Oryctolagus cuniculus: one gene and its partners. The protein of the gene in region 3 purifies or fractionates together with the protein of the main gene of each other region. This does not show direct contact. Links are inferred from orthologs where the notes say so. Each region holds a gene or a part of one and is shown on either strand. Other genes may lie near its edges.

The links. The genes of interacting proteins can lie anywhere in the genome.
Region 1: the proteins of TMEM192 (region 3) and CTSD purify together in Homo sapiens (affinity purification with western blotting; 3 studies listed by BioGRID, with this or other methods). This does not show direct contact. The link is inferred for Oryctolagus cuniculus from reciprocal best matches to the Homo sapiens genes TMEM192 and CTSD.
Region 2: the proteins of TMEM192 (region 3) and LAMP1 purify together in Homo sapiens (affinity purification with mass spectrometry; 3 studies listed by BioGRID and IntAct, with this or other methods). This does not show direct contact. The link is inferred for Oryctolagus cuniculus from reciprocal best matches to the Homo sapiens genes TMEM192 and LAMP1.
Region 4: the proteins of TMEM192 (region 3) and LAMP2 purify together in Homo sapiens (affinity purification with western blotting; 5 studies listed by BioGRID and IntAct, with this or other methods). This does not show direct contact. The link is inferred for Oryctolagus cuniculus from reciprocal best matches to the Homo sapiens genes TMEM192 and LAMP2.

The regions. Positions count from the first base shown.
Region 1 is NC_091432.1:1,679,074-1,683,893, forward strand, and holds the start of CTSD (cathepsin D), read left to right. Parts: upstream 1-1,717; 5' UTR 1,718-1,831; coding exon 1,832-1,899; intron 1,900-3,486; coding exon 3,487-3,673; intron 3,674-4,820. UniProt on the Homo sapiens protein: Acid protease active in intracellular protein breakdown. Plays a role in APP processing following cleavage and activation by ADAM30 which leads to APP degradation.
Region 2 is NC_091440.1:680,377-685,265, forward strand, and holds the start of LAMP1 (lysosome-associated membrane glycoprotein 1), read right to left. Parts: upstream 3,104-4,889; 5' UTR 2,901-3,103; coding exon 2,849-2,900; intron 1-2,848. UniProt on the Homo sapiens protein: Lysosomal membrane glycoprotein which plays an important role in lysosome biogenesis, lysosomal pH regulation, autophagy and cholesterol homeostasis.
Region 3 is NC_091439.1:131,731,032-131,736,093, forward strand, and holds the start of TMEM192 (transmembrane protein 192), read left to right. Parts: upstream 1-2,074; 5' UTR 2,075-2,205; coding exon 2,206-2,232; intron 2,233-5,062.
Region 4 is NC_091453.1:98,202,838-98,207,785, reverse strand, and holds the start of LAMP2 (lysosome-associated membrane glycoprotein 2), read left to right. Parts: upstream 1-1,845; 5' UTR 1,846-1,941; coding exon 1,942-2,140; intron 2,141-4,948. UniProt on the Homo sapiens protein: Lysosomal membrane glycoprotein which plays an important role in lysosome biogenesis, lysosomal pH regulation and autophagy.

The DNA.
Region 1 (4,820 bases), on a different chromosome or scaffold from region 3:
TCTCCCCAGCACCCCCACGGCTGCAATGCTCCCTACCCCGTGAGCTCCAGGCCCCGGCCTGGCTCAGCCCTGGCTTTTGAAGAATGAACCAGCAGATGGAAGATTTCTCTCTGTTTCTCCATCTGCCTTTCTAGTCAAATAAAAAAAAAAAAAATCCCTTAAAAAGAAGAGAGGGGGAGGTAGGCGCCCTCAGCTGAGGAGCCCCGCAGGCAGGCCTGAGGCGACCAGCGGCCCCGGGTCAGCTCGGCCGGGGCAGGGGGCTGCAGCCGGCAGGGAGACCGGTGGGCTCCCGTGTCTCTGTCCTCAGCGGGCAGGGAGACGGGTGGGCTCCCGTGTCTCTGTCCTCAGCGGGCAGGGAGACGGGTGGGCTCCCGTGTCTCTGTCCTCAGCGGGCAGGGAGACGGGTGGGCTCCCGTGTCTCTGTCCTCAGCGGGCAGGGAGACGGGTGGGCTCCCGTGTCTCTGGCTCCTGGAGGCGCGGCTGCAGCTCAGCCCTGGGTCATGGGGGTCCCAGCCCAGGCCTGGACAGGGCGGGCTCTGCCCAGGCAGCCGGAGGTCAGCGGTCAGAAGCCACCTCTGCCTCCTGGAGCCCAGGGCCTCAGTTGCTCTGGGACCTGGAGCACCCAGGCTTTCAGGCCTCCCAGAATCCTCCAGGCTCGGCCCCGGCTGCCGGGGAAGCAGGCTGATGATTCTAGTGAGTGGACTAGCAGACTGCACTGGTGGGAACCCACCCCCCCACCGCCCCCAGCAGCCGGCCGCAGCCCCCAGGGGCCAGGCGGAGCTCCCGGCCGGCCGGACATCGGCCCACTCCTGGAAGGGCCTCCCAGCCACTGTCCCGCGGCGCCTCTGCCCAGAACGCCTTGGGTGGGGCGGCCACAGCTCAGGGTCTGCTGCCTCACGGGTGAGCGCCTGAGCACCCGGGCACCTGCCTTGCTTTCTCGGAGGCACGTGACAAACCCACGCCGGTCCCCCTCCCCAGACGGCACCTTCCGCCACTGCCCAGCTGGCCTCCTGAGGACACTGTCATCCCCTGCCAGCTCCCCGGGCAGGTCTGGCACTCCCGCGGCTCAGGCAGGGAGGTACCGGGCCTCGCTCCGTTCCCAACACCAGGGAAGGAGTGGCCAGCATGGCCTGAGGGTAGCGCCGAGGGCCCCTGGCCCAGGGCACCCTGCAAACAGATCCTGGGGTCCCCCCCACCCCCGCCCCCGCCCGGCGCTGGGAGACCTGACCCCTTCTCTGGTTTTGTTCAGCCATCCTTTGAATGCCGGGGTGTCGAGAACAGGGCGCGGGTTACAGACTGGACGGACAGGGAGGAGGGCTCAGGACACCGCGCAGCCCCGCGAGGAGCTGCTCCCGGGAGGGGCTGGGCCAGGGTGGCCGGGATGGCGGAGGCACCGGGATGCTCCAGGGCACCTTGGAGCCCCTCAGCGCCAGGCAAGACGTGCGCACGCGCGCGAGGAGCAGGTGCAGGCGCTGCGGCGGGGGAGGGGGGGCTTCCCACGCCCGCGCGTGCCGGCCCCGGCGGCAGGCGGGGGCGCTCGGTCCGTAGAGGGCCTCTAGGGTGAGTCTGGCTGGGCCCCCGAGAGCCCGGACAGGCGCGGCGGCGGGCGCGCTCCCGAGGGCCGTGTGCGGGCACGGACGGGGCGCGCCTGCGCCGGGCTGGCGGGGGCGGGAGAGATGGGCGGGAGGGACCGGGTCGCCCCGCCCCGCGCACGCCGGCCGCGGCCACGTGACCAGCCCGGGGGCAAACAAGCGGTCAGCTGACCAGGCCTGACTGCGCCGTCATCCCGGCTATAAGCGCGCGACCTCGCTGCTCCTGGGCCACCGCCGCCATGCAGCCCCCCAGCCTCCTGCTGCTCGCCCTCGGCCTCCTGGCCGCGTCGGCTACCGCGATCATCAGGTGAGGCCCCGGGTCCCAGGAGCGCGCTCAGGGCGCCGCGGGGGGAGGGGGCGCGGCTCTGGGGTCCCCGCGCCCTGGTGGTCTCCCGCGCGGGAATGCACCAGCGCCTGCGGGCTCCGTAGGTGCAGGGGTCGCGCTCAGCCCTCGCCGGACGCCCTAACCCTCCTGCCACCCCTCCGTCTTGGGGGGTTCAGCAGCCCGGAGCGCAGCGCTGCCCCAGGGTGACAGGTGGGGCGGAGCTGCGCTGCTTCGGGTCAGGTGTGGACTCACCTGGGAAGGCGGCACCGGCAGGTGCAAGCCCTGGAGCCCCTGAGCCCGGGGAAGACGCTCCGGCAGCTTCCCCCAGGGGACCTTACCCAGCCCTGGGAGTCCCACAGGTGCCAGAGAGTGGAGAGGTCCCGGGGCGTGGCCCAGCCTGCCCACCCCGGGACTGGGGCTCTGTCGAGAGCCCTGGGGCCCAGGGACCTGTCCCCTGTGCTGGGGGCATTGGGCCTGTTGCACAGGACATTGGAGTGAGCTCCAAGGTGGCGGGCTGGGCGGGCTGGGGGCAGGCTGCAGCCTTGGGGGGGGGGGGTAGGCTCCATGGCAGCCACTGTGGGGCAGCAGGCACGGCGCCCGCCTGCCTGCCTGGGCCTTGCCTGCCCCACCCACAGCCTCCGCTCTGCCAGAAGGGCAGAGACTGTAGTAGGGAAGGGAGCCCAGGACTTCCTGGGGAGCCCGGCAGTTGAGGGAGAGGCCCACACACCTGACCCAGGTCCTGTGGGACTCAGGGCACCTGTCTCCTTGATCCCTGGCCACGCCCAGGACTCCCAGCCTACCCAGTCTTGGGCAACTGGGAGCATGCCCTTGGCGTGCCGGGAATAGCCAGCTGTGACCTTGGGCTCAACGACGACACCTCATCTGAGTGATTAGGAGCTGGGCGAGTGGGGAGTGAGCCCAGACACAGAGTGGGCGGGGCCCTGGGCATCAGAGCCCGCGGGACACCTGCCCTGGGCCTGGGGCGCTCTCCTGCACAGCAGTGCCCAAGGCCTCACCCCAAGCAGGGGCACGGGGGGTGTGTTAGGAGGAGGCCCAGAACCCCCCAGTGCCCCATAGTGGGGTGGGGGCCCCTGGGGCAGTCAGGGTTCAGGGCAGGGAGCTAGCGTTGAAGAGACCCCTCCGATGGCGGACAGGCAGGTGCAGGGAGGAGTGGCTGGGAGGCCAGGTACAGTGCGGTGAGGAGCCCTGCACGCTGCTGGCCACCATCCGGGCAGAGCCAGGAGCAGGTGCAGGGGAGGGTGGAGACTGAAGGGGTGAGGGCGGCACAGGCAGGCGGGTGGGCACAGCGGCCCCTGGTTTGCATGTGGGCTCCCCGAGGGCTGGGTGAGTGAGGCCTCCTGGGCTGGGGGCAGAGGGAGCTGGACCCCCAGGTGCCCGTGGCAGTTTCGTGCTGGCCATGCCTTAGACCCACCCAGAGGGTGGCTGGTGAGGGTCTCGGGCCCCGGGACGGCTGCCCTCGCCCAGCTGCGGGTCCCGGGGTGGGAGGGAGAGGCTGTGGCGGCCAGAGCCCCGCCCTGGCACAGCCCCCACCGCCGTGTGTCTGCACAGGATTCCGCTGCACAAGTTCACCTCCATCCGGCGGACCATGTCGGAGGCCTGGGGGCCCGTGGAGGACCTAATTGCTCAGGGCCCCGTGGAGGAGCCAGGAGCTCAGGGCCCCCTGTCCAAGTACTCCCAGGAGGCGCCCGTGGGGACCAAGCAGCCCGTGCCCGAGATCCTGAGAAACTACATGGATGTGAGTGTGGGCGGGGCCTGGCCGCAGGCAGGGAGGCGGTGGGATCGCACACGTGCTGCTGGTGGGGGCCCGGCCCTGCACCTGGCTCCCCTGCCCCAGGCTCCCTGGGTCTCCAAGCCTGCGGGGGCCACTTGCCCCCACTGGGGCTGAGACAGCACCTCGGTGGTGCCGCCCCTGTGTGTCCCCAGCTCCAAGCCCCTGCTCGTGGCTGAGCCGATGGCTGGTCCTCACGGCCACAGTCCCCTGGCCCTGAGCTTTGGGTGGGCGACCCTGATCCTGGGCCGTCAGGGTCTGCCCTGCAGCCCCGTCACCTGCCTGTCCTGCCGAGAGGCCTGGGTGACGCCGGGGACACTCTCTGTCCCCTCACGCTCTTCAGCAGCCCCCATGGTACCCCCTGCTCCTTCAAGGGGAAGCTGGCTCAGAGGTGGAACATTCCAGAAGCTACACACACAGCAAGCTGGGACCTGGTCGGCCTGGTCCTAGCTCTATGGGGGAGAGGTTCTGGGCCAGAGCTGCCCCCAGCCTCAAAGACTCCCTCCCTGCTGCCCAGGCTGGGCTCTGGCCTGAGGGCTGGGAGGCGGGGCTGTGCCCTGTGTCCTGCTTGGCCTGGGTCCTGGCCGGGACAGGAAGCTCGAGACTTGGGCATGTGACTGACTGGGGGGAGCGGGGACCCTGCTGACCGGTCCCCTGTCTTCTCTGCACATGGACACTGCTGAGTCATCCCACCACGTGGTGCCTTCCTGTCGGTCATGAGTCAGCAGTCCAGTGGCCCCGGGGCGGGGGCAGAGGGGACAGGGGGCTGGAATCCCACAGCAGGGGAAGCCCTCGGGACCCCAGGATCAGAGGGTTCATGATGTCTTGTGTTTGCCTGACCCTAAGGCAGCCTCGCTGGCTGCCCCCGTTGACAGATGGGGAAACTGAGGCCCAGCACAGCCAGGGCTGTTTCGTCCTCCACGCTGTGCTTGGTTCCCTGGCTGCCCCGGGGGTCGGGGGCAGGGCTGGGACTGCAGCCTCTAGAGCTGGCCCCGACTTCTGGGGAGGAGGACACTGCTCTTCCGGGCCCACACTGGCCTGGCGCCCGGCTTGTCCACCGTATGACAGGCAAAGCGGGCGGCAGTACCCAGGGCCAAGGGCCAGAGGCCGGGGC
Region 2 (4,889 bases), on a different chromosome or scaffold from region 3:
CTGGCCAGTCCAAAGCCAGGAGCTGTGGCTTGTCTGACAGGCAACTGAGCCAAATGGCAGCACCTGCAGGCGGCACCCACGGGTGCCTGTGTCTGTGGCAGCCGTCCACCCAGTCTCAAACACAGTGGTTCCCCCGGGTCACAAGACCACAGCTCTGGCTGCTCCTTCAACACTCCCACTTGCAGAAATTCCAATCTGAGACAAGCACAGCTGTGGGCAACACACACGCTTCTGAGTCAGACCTCGGTTCTCGGTGGTTCCTCCACCCTGAACAACCGTGTGCTCCTGGACCTGCGGCAACCCCAGCCCTCAATCCATCAGCACTTGGTGCACCTGACACAGTCTGAGTCGGCGAGCACTGTAAGGCACCTACTGTGTGCCAGGCACCGCCCTGTTACCGTCAGTTACCGTGCTAACCTGACGACGAGACTCCCTCCTGCAGAGCTGGAGACCAAGGCGCACAGACGCTGACCCCTTGCTCCAGGTCACACCCCAGAGACTGGTCCCGAGCCCGGCCCGGAGTGGGTTCTTCTGCCTGGCCCAGGCCTGACCACACCGCCTCCAGGCGTGGTGAGGAGGGACCAGGCTTCAAAGCGGCGAACTCCTGAGGCAGAGAGCTGGCGTCTGGTCTAGAGGTTACCACGGGTTCAGATGCCTGCATCCCACCTGCACAGCCACCTGGGTTAGATACTCAGCCCCACCTGATTCCAGCTGCCAGCTCATGTGTCCCACAGGAGGCACAGTGATGGCTCAGAAGTGGCTGGGTTCCTGCCACCCACGTGGGAGACCTGGACTTAGCTGGGTCCTAGCTTTGGCCCAGCCCAGCCCTGACTGGTCAGGGCGTTGGGGGAGTGAACCAGCATATGGGAGTTCTGCCTCGCTGCCTTTCACATAATTTTTAAAATTATGGAACACAGGCTTTGACATGAAAAAGGCTGCTATCTGAAGTCTACCCTTCGAAGCGCCAGCTTCCCTAAGCACACCCTCACCTGTACCATCTAGATTCCTCAAGCCCAGGGGCTTCCCTGGTAATCAATGAAATGCACAATCATCTATGGAGATTGAAGGGAGAGAAAGACCAAGTCCGACCCCGCACACGGGCTCGCAGCCTCTGGAGGCCCTGCATGTGCGCACACGCACACACACACACACACCCCTACAGAGCTGCCTCGTGCTGAGGGCGGGGCCGTGAAGACCGGGCATCTCCTCACACGGTACCAAGCAGGGCGAGCTGTCGGGCAGGGCCGGGCCTCGGGTGGGGGAGGCAGAGGCCCGGGCAGGAGCAGTCGCAGTACAGCCGACAGAGACCACAGAGCACACGCTACACTTCCTGGTATGCACAGAGAGGGGCCCACCATGCAGACTTTACCACAAACAGAAACTCAAAGCCACAGGTCCACAAAAACACTCCGGTCTGCAACCTGGCGAAGAATTCAGGAGCGACTCTCAGGCCCAGGGCAACGGTAATGCGCACGAAACTCTCCACAGTGCCTAAGTAACAGGTCTCCCGGTGGCCCACAAGTCAGACGACTGCTGCGAGTCCTACGTGTCAAATACAAGTCTCCCCAGGTCTGCGGAACACTGGAACAGCTTTAACTCCAGATTACTAATGAGAACAGGAACTGAAGAATCAGTTTCTCGTAATGAAAACATGCCTTTTGGTGTTTTACATTAAAACTTTTTTTTTAGACAGACGTGAATTCAAGTTGGTAAAAGACCTTTTGAAGAGCTGGGTTGTACTTGAATACAAAACCCGAAAGCCGCTCTGCTTCCAGCCAGCTCCCTGCCCGGGCTTCCAGGGCCCTGCCACCCACACGGGAGGCCCGAATGGAGCTGCAGGTTCGAGGCTTCTGCCTGGCCCGGGTGGCTGAACCAGGGGATCCCAGTGCTCCGCCTCTGCCTTTCAAGTAAACAAACAGTTAAAAAAAGCAAAAGACGCTGGGCTTCGGTGCCGGCTGGCTGCACCCCAGCTTCTGCCGGACGGCGCTCTCCGGGCGGCAGCAGCGAGGACTCCGGGCACTTGGGTCCCTGCCACCCACGTGGGAGACCTGGTTTGGGTTCATAGCTTCGGGCCACAGCAGCCATTTGGCGAGTGAACCAGAGACTGGAGGCTTGCCGTCTGTGCCTCTCAAAAAAAAAAAAAGAGAGAGAGAAAGAAAGAGCCCAATCGCAGGCACAGTACTCCAAGCTGCCCCAATACTAACAAGTTACGAATCTTCATTTTATTGATCCCAAGGCCGGTGCGGTGTGCTTACAAAGAGTGACGCAAGCTTTGCGACGCGGGAGAGCTGGTCTAACTAACCGCACCTGCTGCCAAGGGTCACGGGCGCCCGGCCCCGGCCAGGGCGTCTCTTGCGGCTGCTTATGCAAGTCCTGGAATACGTTCGCTCAATTAGCAAGACAAGACCCATCCGCAGACGGAACTGTGGGGTTCGGGGGGACTCCACCAACACCCCCAGCGCTCACGCGCAGGTGCGCGTCTACCTGACGCACGCGCATCCTCTCCCGGTCCCTGCGACCAGCTCCGCACGTTACTGGGGCGGGGGTCTGCGGGCCGGGGCCGAGGCAGGTGGGCGTCCGGGCGCACACTCCGCCCTCACCCCTGCTTCCCGGAGCGGGCACGGCCGCCACGACCTCTCCGCCCGGGGGCCGGGGCCGGGGCCAGGCCCTCTGATCGCCCGCCGCGCCAGGCTCGGACCCCCCGCGGCACCGCCCACGGCGCCCCCCGAACTCGTCGCCGGTCCGACCTCGGGCTGCGCGCAGCCGGGCCGCGGCGGGGGCTCCTCCCGCCCCGCGACGCCCGCGCCCCGACCCGGCGGCCCCGTCCCGCCGCCTCCCGCGGCCTCACCGAGCAGCAGCAGCAGAAGCAGCGGTCGCCGGGCGCCGCCGGGGGCCTCCATGGCGCGAGGCGGCCGAGCCGGTGTTGGGAGCCTGGCGCGGGCCGGGCGGCGTCGGTTGGGCCTCGGCTGCGGGCGTGGAGACTGCGGGAGGGGCGGCGACGACCACCGACTCGACGGGCCCGACAGCTGCGGCGCCGGCACCAAGGAGACCCCACGGCCGGCAGCGCCTGTCACGTGACCCGCGCCGCGCCCGCCGTCACGTGAGCCGCGGATCTCGCGAGAGCGCGCCCGTCGTGCGCCGGGGCTCGACGCCCGCAGGGGCCGGGTCTCCCGGACGTCCCCCGCCGTCTGCGCGCGTGACCTGGCCCGGCACGTGACTGTGGGGCCACGTGACCGGCCGCGCCCCCTCCTCCCCGGCCCGCCCCGGGCTCCGGGGGTCTCCGCGCGAAACGGAAAGTGCGGTGGCTCCGGGGAAGAGGAAGGAGAAAGGCCGCGGCGGGGGAAAGTGAGGGCCGGGAAAGCGGAAGCGCGCGGGCGGGCGGGCGGGTGTGTGCGGCTGCCGCCCGCCGCGCGAGCAGAACGCACTCGGGGGGCGTGCGCGCGGGGAGGGGGACCCTGCGTGCTGCGGGCGCCGCTGCCGCGCTCGGTGCGGCCTCAGGCCCGCGGCTGCCCCTCTGCCGTCGTTGCTTCCTCCGCGCGGCCAGCACCGCGCCGGGCGCGCTAAGGGGAGAGGCAGGGCTCAGCCAGGGCTCGGCGGCCGCGGGCGCGGGTCCCGCCTCCGGCTCAGCCCGCGAGTCGCTGTGATCACTCCGGGGAGGCGCGGGAGATGGCTCGGGGACTGGGGCTCCGGCCGCTGGGGCCGTCCCACCTGCCGCAGGCACTTGTGGGAGCGACCCCCGCACAGAGGCACGGTCCCCCTCCCTGTCCCCCTCTCCCCCCACCCCGTCCTCTGCCTGTCTCTCGGCGCCTGAATCAGGTAGCGAACCTGGGATACACACTCCCCTCTCTTTCGCTCTAAATTACGGTTCTCCGTGAGAAATGGTAAACAGAGGCAGTAATTTTGCATAGAGTTGTAACTTATGTTTGTTTTACCAAAATGTACTTTAAAAAATAAAGATCCAGTGGAAGGGGCCCAGTGTGCCGCCGGCTGCTGGTGTGCACCTGTGCTTTCTGGATGCTGTGAAGCAAGGTCCAGGCACTACTTTTCTTGTATGTGTATCACTTTCTTTTTTTTATTTATTTTTTTGGTTTACTTATTTGAGAGGCGGACTTACAGAGAGAGAGGTCTCCCATTTGCTGGTTCACTCCCAGATGGCTACAGTGGCCGGAGCTGGGCCAATGCAAAGCCAGGAGCCAGGAGCTTCTGCAGGTCTCCCTCGTGGGTGCAGGGGCCCCAGCACTTGGTCCATCTTCTACTGCCTGTTTCCCAGGCCACAGCAGAGAGCTGGAGCAGAAGTGGAGCAGCCCGGACGTGAGGCAGCCCCGCACGCCCAGGCTGACCCTGCTAGGCACAGTGTGCCGGCTTCCTGTGGGACCTCACCGCCATCGTCTAGGCACAGTGTGCCGGCTTCCTGTGGGACCTCACCGCCATCGTCTAGGCACAGTGTGCCGGCTTCCTGTGGGACCTCACCGCCATCATCGCACCTAACCGGGGAGCCCTGCACAGTGAGGCCGCGTGTCTGCCTTTCGCCAGGGCTGTAAGAAGTGCTGCTGGGCGCGTCTGTGCGTCTGTCCTGCGACACCTGCGTGCTCGGGAGCCCTGCGTCTCGCAGCACGCGGCACTCGGCACAGTGGCCCCGGGCGGAGGGCAGGACCAAGGGGCGCAGGCGGGCACCCAGGAGGGAAAGTGAAGAGGGCGCGGGGCTGCTTTGCAGCCAGCGTGTGTGGAAAGGCACAGTTCTGTCTAAAGGCTGAAAAGCGAGAGGGCAGCTCTGCTTCTCTGTAGCTCGAACGGTTTTGTCAGCGAGGCCGTTTTGGGAGAGCACAGCCCGGTTTCTGTCTGTCGTGTGGTAGGACTCCAGGCGGAAGGGCTCGTGCAGCACCGCTGAC
Region 3 (5,062 bases):
CGGATCAGCACGGTATGCTGGCCACAGCGTGCTGGCCGGGTGGCCATTGGAGGGTGAACCAACGGCAAAGGAGGACCTTTCTCTCTGTCTCTCTCTCTCACTGTCCACTCTGCCTGTCAAAAAAAAAAAAAAAAAAAAAAAAAGGAACCTGGGGTGCCGGCGCCACAGGCGGAGGATTAGCCTAGTGAGCTGCAGCGCCGGCCTCCTGTCTGCCTTTCTTAGGCACTTCATTCTCACCCCAGGCAAGCATGGAAACCAGAATTCCTCTCCCAAGGCATTAAAGAACTACTTTCCCCCAAATCCAGCCATAGACCTCAGAATACATAATGCAAAACTCCCTTTCTGTGTAAGAGCTGGACATAAGGAATTGTCTGACCTAGCTGGTCATAACATCCCCACTCCAGAAAGGATTCTGTCCCCCACGGGGAAGGAAGGAATGTTGCAGAGAGGCCAAGAATCAGAGCAGACAGGCCCAGCTGCCTCCTCAGTCTGTTTCCAGTAGATCATACTCTTCTGTCCAATAGTTCTACAGGCTGTTCATTCTAGAACCCTTTGCTCTGTGTGCTTGATTCCTCATTTCTGGAGGCTTCTGTGTCCTGTAAAACTTATATTGAAATGTTAAGCTTGGGGGATTGGCGCTGTGTTGCACCAAGTTAAACCTCCGCTTGCAGTGCCGGCATCCCATATGGGTGCCAGTTCGAGTCCTGGCTGCTCCACTTGGGATCCTGTTCTCTGCTATGGCCCCGGGAGAGTAGCAGAGGGGAGCCCAAGTATTTGGGCCCCTGCATCCACATGGGAGACCCAAAAGAAGCTCCTGGCTCCTGGCTTTGGCCTGGCCCAGCCCCAGTAGTTTGACCCATTTGGGAAGTGAACCAGTAGATGGAAGATTCTCTCCCTGCCTTCTCTCTTTTCTCTGTATCTCTGCCTTTCAAATAAATAAATCTTTAAAAAAATTTTTGTCATCCTTTCCTTTAGCTAACCTGTCTTTTGCTAGAGGACTTTCAGCTGTGATCATGGGAAGAGATAGTATCGCTACAGGGACAGTTTGAAAAACATTGGCCTAGAGTAGTTAGTAAACATACAATTATAATACTATGCTATGATGGTAGTAAACATAGTATTATGAGTTTTCTTAGGTGTGTAATGATTGTCTTGATGAAGGAACTATCCTTACTTTTAGGCAACGGAGTATAGCGTTTCATATTGTCCTCAACGTTTACATGGTTCAGTTACACACACACACAGCAGTTTTGGTATGATATTAACAACTGATAAATTCACATAAGGGGCACATCCACGGATTTCAGGGTACTAGTATTTCAGCATTGCTATAGCCTTGACAATTTTCCAAATATGGAGGGGAAATGCGTATCTAGAAACTTGAGAAAAAATTCACAGAATCTCGGGACTGAGACACCTTCGGACCACGTGGAGTCCGACACCGTCCTTGCCTTTGCTGACATTTGCGTGGTTTCACCACGTAATGTTTTACGTGTTTTCATGTTTCCCCAGCCTTGCAAACAGGACCCCAGTACACGCCATATGCAAATAAGCATTCATCCGGTTGTGGGGGGAGGGGTGGCACTGACAGAAAATTTCACTTTCCTTTTCTGACTACATTTTAATTATAATGTATTATCAGATAATTCCCCAGCCTTCTCTGTTAATTCCTTTAACAAAGGAGCAAAAAAATCCAAAAATTTGTTTCCCACGGTGCCTATTCCGCACACCGATCGTGGTGTGACCCTGTGTAGGACGCTGGTGAAGTTAAACCACTCAGACGCCAGGTAAATCAGGTTTGTTCCGTCCCTCTCCGGGTGGGGTGGGATTTTACCACGGGGTCTCCCTCAGCACAGAGCAAACACCTTACCGCAAAGGGTTCAACTGGCGGACCAGCCACGCAAGCACGCCCGAGCGCGGCCGAGAGCTGACAGAGACGCGGCGGCGCGAAGCGGGAGCCCGCGCTCTCCGGGCGCCGCTCAGAGCCCGGGGCTTGGGCGAGGCCCGCCCCTCCTTCCGCCCCGGCCAATCGGGAGCGAGGGGAGGCGGGGCCCGGGCCTGAGGGGCGGGGCGGGCGGAGAAGGGGGCGTGTCCGCGGGGAGGGCCCGCCGGTCCCTGAAGGTGGAGACTCGTCCTGGGCCGGCGGCGGCCGGGCGCAGGTGGGCAGGCCGGGCTGGCCCGGGCTCCGGTCTCGGGCGTCGGGAGATGGCAGCGGGGGCCCGGACGGAGGACGTGAGTGCGCGGAAGGGGAGGTGGTGGGCGCTGCCTCCGGAATCCCGTTCTTCCTGTGCTGGGGCGCGAGGGGCGGAGACTGGGGGTGCGGCGCGGCCCAGGGCGCGGGGCTGGTTGCGGGCGGCCCTGGAGGCCGAGTGCTGCAGGCTGCCGGCTTCTCCCGCGGGAGGCCGGGTGGGCTTCGGGGGGCGGCCGCCCCAGGCTGGCGCGCAGCCCACGTGCGGCGCGCGTCCGTGGCCCCGGAACTGCGCGCTTCACGTGACGCGCGTCTGGCCCGGGCGCCCTGCGTCCCCGCGCGTGTCTGGGCGCCGCGCTGTCCCCCTGGGCACGCAGAGGGGCCCGGGTCCCCGCCGGCAGGGCCCCTGAACAGGCTGCGGCAGGTCGCGGCGTCCCGTGGGCAGCCCTGGACCTGTCGCTGTCATAGCCCGGAAACCCCCATTGGAGGAAAACAGTGTCACGTGCTGTTTTTCTATGTAAGCATGGTAGCATGAGAAGGGTCTCAAATCTTCGATCCAAGGCAGAGGACGTAAAATCCCTGTGCGTATAGTGCAAAATTGCAGAAGTCTTACTTGCCTGAGTTTATACGAAGACTGTTTATAATTATTAACTGGGTTGCCCATTACACATAATGAAATGCTTGCTCTCTTCGGAACGCAAAGATGGCAGGTACATTAAAGCGCTTGCTTGGGTTAATAAACAAATAGGAATATTGCTATGATCCTTTCACTGAATGGAGCACATTGGGAAAGGCGAAAGACATGGGAACCCTGGTTCCAGTGCTGCAAGACCTTAGGTTGTAGTACAAATAGTGACCATAGTTAAATCATCTTGACAAAATAGAGACCAATTCCTAATGATATGACTAAAAATTTTAGTTCTTTTCTAGCTGAGAAAACAGAAAGCTAATGGTAAAACCTGAAAGTAGATTGGAGACTTGTAGTTAAAGCAGAATCCCTGGTGAATTTTTAAAAAATGTTATTTTTCACTTTTATTTGAAAGGCAGAGATTCAGAGAGAGAGAGGCAGAGAAAGATCTTTCAACTGCTGGTTCACTTTTCAAATGCTTATAGCAACCAAGGATGGGCCAGGCCAAAGCCAGGACCCCAGAGCTGGGTCTCTCACAGCTGGGTCCCCCACACGTGTGGGAGGACCGCAAGTACTGAGCCATCACCTGCTCTCCTAGGATGTGCATTTGCAGGAAACTGAATCAGAAGCTTAGGAGCCAGGACTGGAACCAGGCACTCCTGTGTGGGATGCAGGTGCCCAAGCAGCTGCTTAACCGTAGTGCTAAATGGCCACCACTTTTTGTAAACGTCTAGGGATGTGATTTTTTTTTTTTAAGATTTATTTATTTATTTGAAAGGCACAGCAAGAGAGAGAGAGAGAGAGAGAGAGAGAGAGAGAGAGAGGGGGAATCTTCCATATCCTGGTTAACTCTCCAAATGGCCACAAGAGCCAAGTCTAGGCCAGGATGAAGCCAGAACTTTATCCTGCTCTCCCACAGGGGTGGTTTCCAGGCCCACTAGCAGGAAACTGAATCAGAAGCAGAGAAAACAGGCACTCTAAAAATATGGGATGTGGGTATCCTAAGCAGTGACTTTAAGTGTGGTGCCCAGTGCCTGCCCCTGTTTATGAATTCTTCAGGATGAGATTAATGAACTGACAATTTATGGAAAAATTGGATATCTAAGAGGAAAATGAGTCTTAGAAAAACACATTAAATGCATCTTGGTTGGGTGCTGGCTGCTCCAGAGATCTTGGGTCTGTGACTTTCGGTTTCAGGATGAGTACAGACCTACCAATCTCCATTTCACCTAGCAATTGTTTCACCAACAGTTATGTAACTATATCTCTTTAGCTCTAAGTCACTCTTTTTGGTAATTATTTATTTTCAATTGAGAAAATGGAAAGACTGTAGGTTAGTTAGGGTTTATTGTTTGCAAACAGTGAAACCACCTATGGCTAATTTAAGACAGGGATTTATTTGGAAAGATATAGGGTGAATGACCAGCAGGGTCTCTGAAATGAACCATAGTCAGCTCAAGGGGTCTAAGTTACAGGAGTTCTTTTAGGGCCTGCCGCAGAATAAATGTGCAACAACCGTAGACTTTGCTGCCCAGAAAGAGTTGGATTGACCCAGCTGCTGTTTGCTCCATGACCACCCCCGGGCCTGCAGAGGGTGAAGAGTCCTGAAGATGTTCCCACTAAGACTTAAGGCAAAGGTACACAGTGGACAGGAACAAGAGATGTCCTTTACAGGTGGTAATGGAATTGTTAATACTGGCCATGAAGAAATATTTGATTTCAGGAATCCTTGTCCCCTCCTCTTTCCCTTGCACATAGTGGGTTCACAGAATGATTGGTCCTGGGAGTATGGTCCTGCTTCATACTTCCTGTTGGAGCCGCTGGACAGTCAGTGTGTGAGTATTTGATACACAATCCAATCATTACAGGTCCTAACTGCTTCAGGAGAATCAAGATATACACATAAAGAAGAAAGCAATACAAGGCAGCATAAGAAATACTGCTAACGAATATTATGAGTACTGTGTTTTACAGTAGTTTAAAGCAGAGAAAAGAAATACTTTAGGACAGATTTTTGTGGAGAACTAGACTGTGAACAATTAATTGAATTCTAAGAAAGATAAAAGAAAGTGGAAGATTTATGGGGCACTATAGGAAGCCTGTATGGGTGAAGGTTGTGGCTGGTGCATAGAAGTTGATTACTGTCCTGCAGTTGAGATCTCAATGTTGGCTTTGTTTAAATTTCTCTGATCCCAAGTAGTCGAGAAGTTGGGCAATCTTTTATTCAGTCAGCACGCATACTGGAC
Region 4 (4,948 bases), on a different chromosome or scaffold from region 3:
GGGTTCTGCTGAACATTAAACATATGCAATTTATAGTTTAGGGAGAAGGGTCACAGTCTTTCAGTAAGGATTGGTGAGACAATTTTCTGAGGCTTCAACTCAATCGTGGTTTCTCTGAAAACCACTATACCCAGGATACATCTCCTGCCTATTCTTGATGGTGGGGCAGTCAAATTACATTTTACTATTGCAGTGACTAATACTGTAGTGTATATTAATCCTGTGTTGGGTACATCACTCATGACTTGTTTCACCTATTATAGAAGACATTCATCAACACGTGTTCTCACTTTCAGGAATTAATCAGATTAAAGCAAATGATAGTGAGGACAGACCAGTGGTTCTTAATATTTGAGTTGGCAAGGGGAGTAGAGTGGGGACTCAGAGGTTCCATTTCATAACTAGTGAAAACTATAAACTTCCCCAGGAAAATACACATATATAAATATTTCATGTAATTACTGAGGATTCATAACACTTTCTCCACCCTCAAAGGTCATTCATAAAAGATTAAGATATCCTGCACTAAATGATTCTGAAGTTCTATGTTAGTGTTTCTCAAAGTTTGATCCATGGACTCCAGCACCAGAATCACTTGGAATATTTGTTTACAAAAATAACAGATTTGTGGGATTGCCACAGATTTACCCTTTCAGAATTTTTGGAGAATGAGTTTCAGGAATATGTTTTTAAAATCCCCAGATGATTCTTTGGAAATTGATATTTGACAATCAATGCTTCATTCCAACTCGGGATTTTTGTGGGGTTTGAGTGCTTCTATCTATTGAATATTTTAGGTTTTGTCTGTTCATCTGTCAAGTACCAGTTTAGTATGAACTCATTAAAGTATATTTGTATAAGCATAGGAAAGACATCTGAAAGGATATGTGTGTGTGTGTGTGTGTGTGCTTGTGTATGTGTAATTTAGAAACAAATATATAAAGAATGCACACACACATATGAATGAAGGGGGAGCTTGAATTAAAAGATCATGTGCACTTTTTAAAAAAATTCATTTTATTTATTTGAAAGGCAGAATGACACAGAGAGAGAAGTCTTCCATTTGCTGGTTCACTCTCTAAGTGCCCACAACAGCTGGGGTGGGCTAGACTGAAGCCAGGAGTTAAGAGTTCATCTGGGTCTCCCACATGAATGGCAGAGGCCCAAGCACTCAAATCATTTTCCTCTGCCTTCCCTGGCACAGTAGCAGGGAGTTTCATTGGAAACGGAGCAGTGGAGAGGAGAACCAGCTATGGTCAGGTGGTGGAGTGGCATGCTGCACCTTGGCAAACCTGAACCTGTGCATTTTCCATGAGCTTTTTGAAGGCCCCTACTATAATGTTAACAGTGGTTCTCTTCGCACAGTGGGAACCTGGATGATAGTTATGTTTTCATCTTTATCCTTGTTTTATTTTTCTCATTTTTTTCTTCCTGTATTTAGTAAAGATACTTCCTGTTTTTGAGCTCAGTGTCCCAATCTGAGAAACAGGGTGTTGTTGTAACTAGGCGAACTTCAAGACCATGTCCTGCTCTGATGGTCAGTGATTTCACATTACCCCCAAGCTATCTGATCACCCTCTAGCTCTCTGGTCCTATCTAATAGCGTGAATTGCATTGGTAACAACAGCGTTTCGAGAATAATTTATTATTTTTATATGTTATGTTGAGATATGTAGGAACAGTTTTTTGACAGCAGTTATTTTCTTCTTCAAGGAGTCAGAACAGAAATAATCTACTGTCTGCAGCCCTCAAAAGTTCACTCTCTTTCCTTAGCCTGAGAAAATGCCGTCCACGCATCTCTCTTAGTAGCGTAGAAATGGTTGTGAACCAAAAAGCCAGGGCGTGGTCGCCCCGCCCACCGGCCCCTACATCACTATCCCTTTCGCTTTTTTCAAGCGCGGGGATTGGCTGAAAACAAGAAAGAACCCCGCCCCTGGTCTTATGACTCGCGCTGAAGCGGCGGCGACTCCTGGCTTTTGCTGCGCTGTGGTCAGTGGTCGGTGGTGCTCTTGCCGCAGCTGTAGCGAGTCTCTTCCTTTCTGTTGCCGCTGCTGCCGCCTCCTGCCCTCTGAAATCATGGTGCGCTCCTGTATTTTCTTGGTTCAGTGCTCGGGACTCGTTCTGCTCTGCCTGGGACTGGGTGAGTTGTTGGGCCCTCCTGATTAGTGTTCAGCCTGGGCCCGGGGCGCTGGTTCAAAGGCCACAACCTGAAAGACTGGTCCGGGAGAAGGCGGTTGAGAGGCTCCGCAGCTGACACTGGGCTGGGGTTGTTGTCCCGCGGAAGTGAGCAGTGACCTAGAGAAGGCCTGATCAAGAGATGGCAGGGAAGAAGCCACGGGGAGAGTAAGAAGGGGCAAGTACGGGGCGGGGGCGGGGAAGGGTGGACGCCGAGGGAGTCAGCAGGAAGCGTGAAGCGTAGCAGAGGTCGCATAAAGAGTGACTTGGGGAAGACCCTAAAGAAGATTTTGGGGGCGGCAGAGGTAATTAGGAGAGTCCCGATTTCCCTGGATCAGGCAAGAGTTTGGAAGTTGATGGAAAAACTATGGAGTGAGAAGGAAAATTGGTAGGGAAAGAGACTGCCTGTATGGAATAACTTGGGGGAAGAATGGGGGCTGGGAGCAGATAGGAGAGCCTTAGGGGCAGGGACAGGGTTGTGGGGTTTGTAAGTGGAAATTTATGGAGAAAGGGTGATTCAAGAGGTGAGGAATGATGCTGAATTTGAGTTTGGCAGTCGAAGTTTTCAGAGTGAAGGAACCTAAACTGGCTGAGGCAATTTTCAAGACACAACCTTTGGAAACCAATGGGGACTTTGGTGAGGAATGAATATCCATTGTGGAGGGGTTAAGGATGTCGGTGTTTATCGATTTTGCTACTTTCTCCCAGCCAGACCCTGACACCCACACCCGCAGCCAAAAAAAAAAAAAAAAATCCCGAATGTTTTAGGTGGGAGGGCCTTCCAGATGTGAGATTTGGGGGACTGGTTTTCTTCTTCCTTATGGCACAACTGGCCTGTTACCTCGTTTTTAGAAGGGGAAGGTGGGTAAGTTCGCAATTAGTGAGTTCTTACCGGGTCCCAAAATGGAAGTGTAGCTGATTGTGCTCTGCCAGGGTAGGCTGCGGGTTCCTGACGGCTTTAATGTATAAAGATGAACTTTGACCATTGTGTCTCTTCCTGACCTGATTCATCCTGTGCTTATTGCTACCCACAGGCTCTTGCTCTTTGTGACTTAATAAAAGAGCAGAAGAAACAGACCAGAGAGGGGAGGACACAGACATATTTGGGACCTGAGAAGGCAGTAGAAATATGCATATTGTCATTCGCATTTTAGTAGAATAAAATGAACATCATAGAACAGTGCGTTCTCAAGAAGAGGACATTTGGGAATATCTGGAAACATATTTGGTTGTCACAGCTGGGTGATAGTGGCATGTAGTGAGTAGAGGCCCAGGATGCTAGTCAACATTCCTACCAAGCACATGCTAGCCCCTCTCAACAAAGAATTAACTGCCTCAAATGCTAATAATGCCTGAGTTATCTAGTCCAGTGATTTGCAAGGGCCTTTTCAGGGGTTTGCCAATTCAGAACTTTTCAGAATACTACTAAGATATTTGTCCTTTTCTTGTCCTCTCACCAGTGTACAGTGGAGTTTTCTGGAGGCTAAATAGTGTGCGATGACATCACCACTCTGATGCCTCTGGTGTTCATGTGTTTTGTTAATTTCTTAATCTTAATTTCTGATATGGTAAATACTGATAGATACAACTCAGATAAGCCAAAGCTGTGTGAGGTCCTCTGTGGATAATAGAATAAAGGGATCCTGACACCAAAATGTTTGCAAGTCCCTGATCTATCCAGCTGTCCTTGGAGTGTAGAAAACCCTTGTACAGCACTTCTGAAAGGGGGCCATGAGGCTTTGCTTAAATACTTAATTCAAAGTCTTAACTGTACTGTGAAGCATTTGCTGATGGCTGACTGACCCTAAGACAGTCTTGTTTACAATAGAAAGCACCTTATCAGTGACTGGAACACATCTGACCAAGGCATCTGTTAATCAGGAGTTCTTTGCCAATTGAATCTGCACAAATACAACACAGTTATTGTTTAGAGAAAGTGAAAAAATAATAGTTGCCCTACTTGTTGCCTTTTATGCCATTTTTTTGTTTTTTAATGAAAGCTTTTTTTTAAAATGAAATCAGTGTTTGCTCATTGCAGAAATAAATAGATAAAAAAGAAGCTCAGGAAAGAACGCATCAGTTCATCTGCTAGTTTGCCGTTTATTAATTGGGGCTAACCAAATTCACCTCCTGAAAGATTTCCAAGATTTATGCCCCCAGTCTCCAAGTTTAGAACAGAATTTGGAGGAGTAAAAATTAATAATATACCTAAATCTGATATTTAACAGGTTCCGGGATGCAATTAGAACAACCTTTCTATATAGCTGCTTCTTTGAACAGTTCTAGGTGCAGTGTGAACTAAGTCTTCCCATGTGGTTTTTTTTCCTAAGAATTTAGCAGGTTTGTAGTTGCTTGGTGGGCTTTGCATATAACCTTTCTTTATAAAAATAGATACCAAGTATAGATTTTTGAAAACTCAGTAAATATTTGTAAGGTATGTACCATGTACCTAGTACTGTGCCTGCGTGTTGTAGAGGCTACTAGTAAAGGAAGAACTATCCTGAATTTATGGTTTCACTAACATTAGGGCTGTAGCTGTGCCAGTTTCTCTTTATAACCATCCCAGCTCCACTGTTACCCTTTAAAAAGTGGTTGCTTTATAGCAAATATAAGAAATAATTCTTAAAGTCTACATGGTGATCTTTTTCACAGAGATTAAGTTATGCTGATACTTATTTGAATGAACTATAACTGGAGACATTTCTGAAAAAAGTCTGTGATTTAAAGACATTATAAAAAGGGTAGTAGTTGAAAGTACTTTCCTAGCATCGTT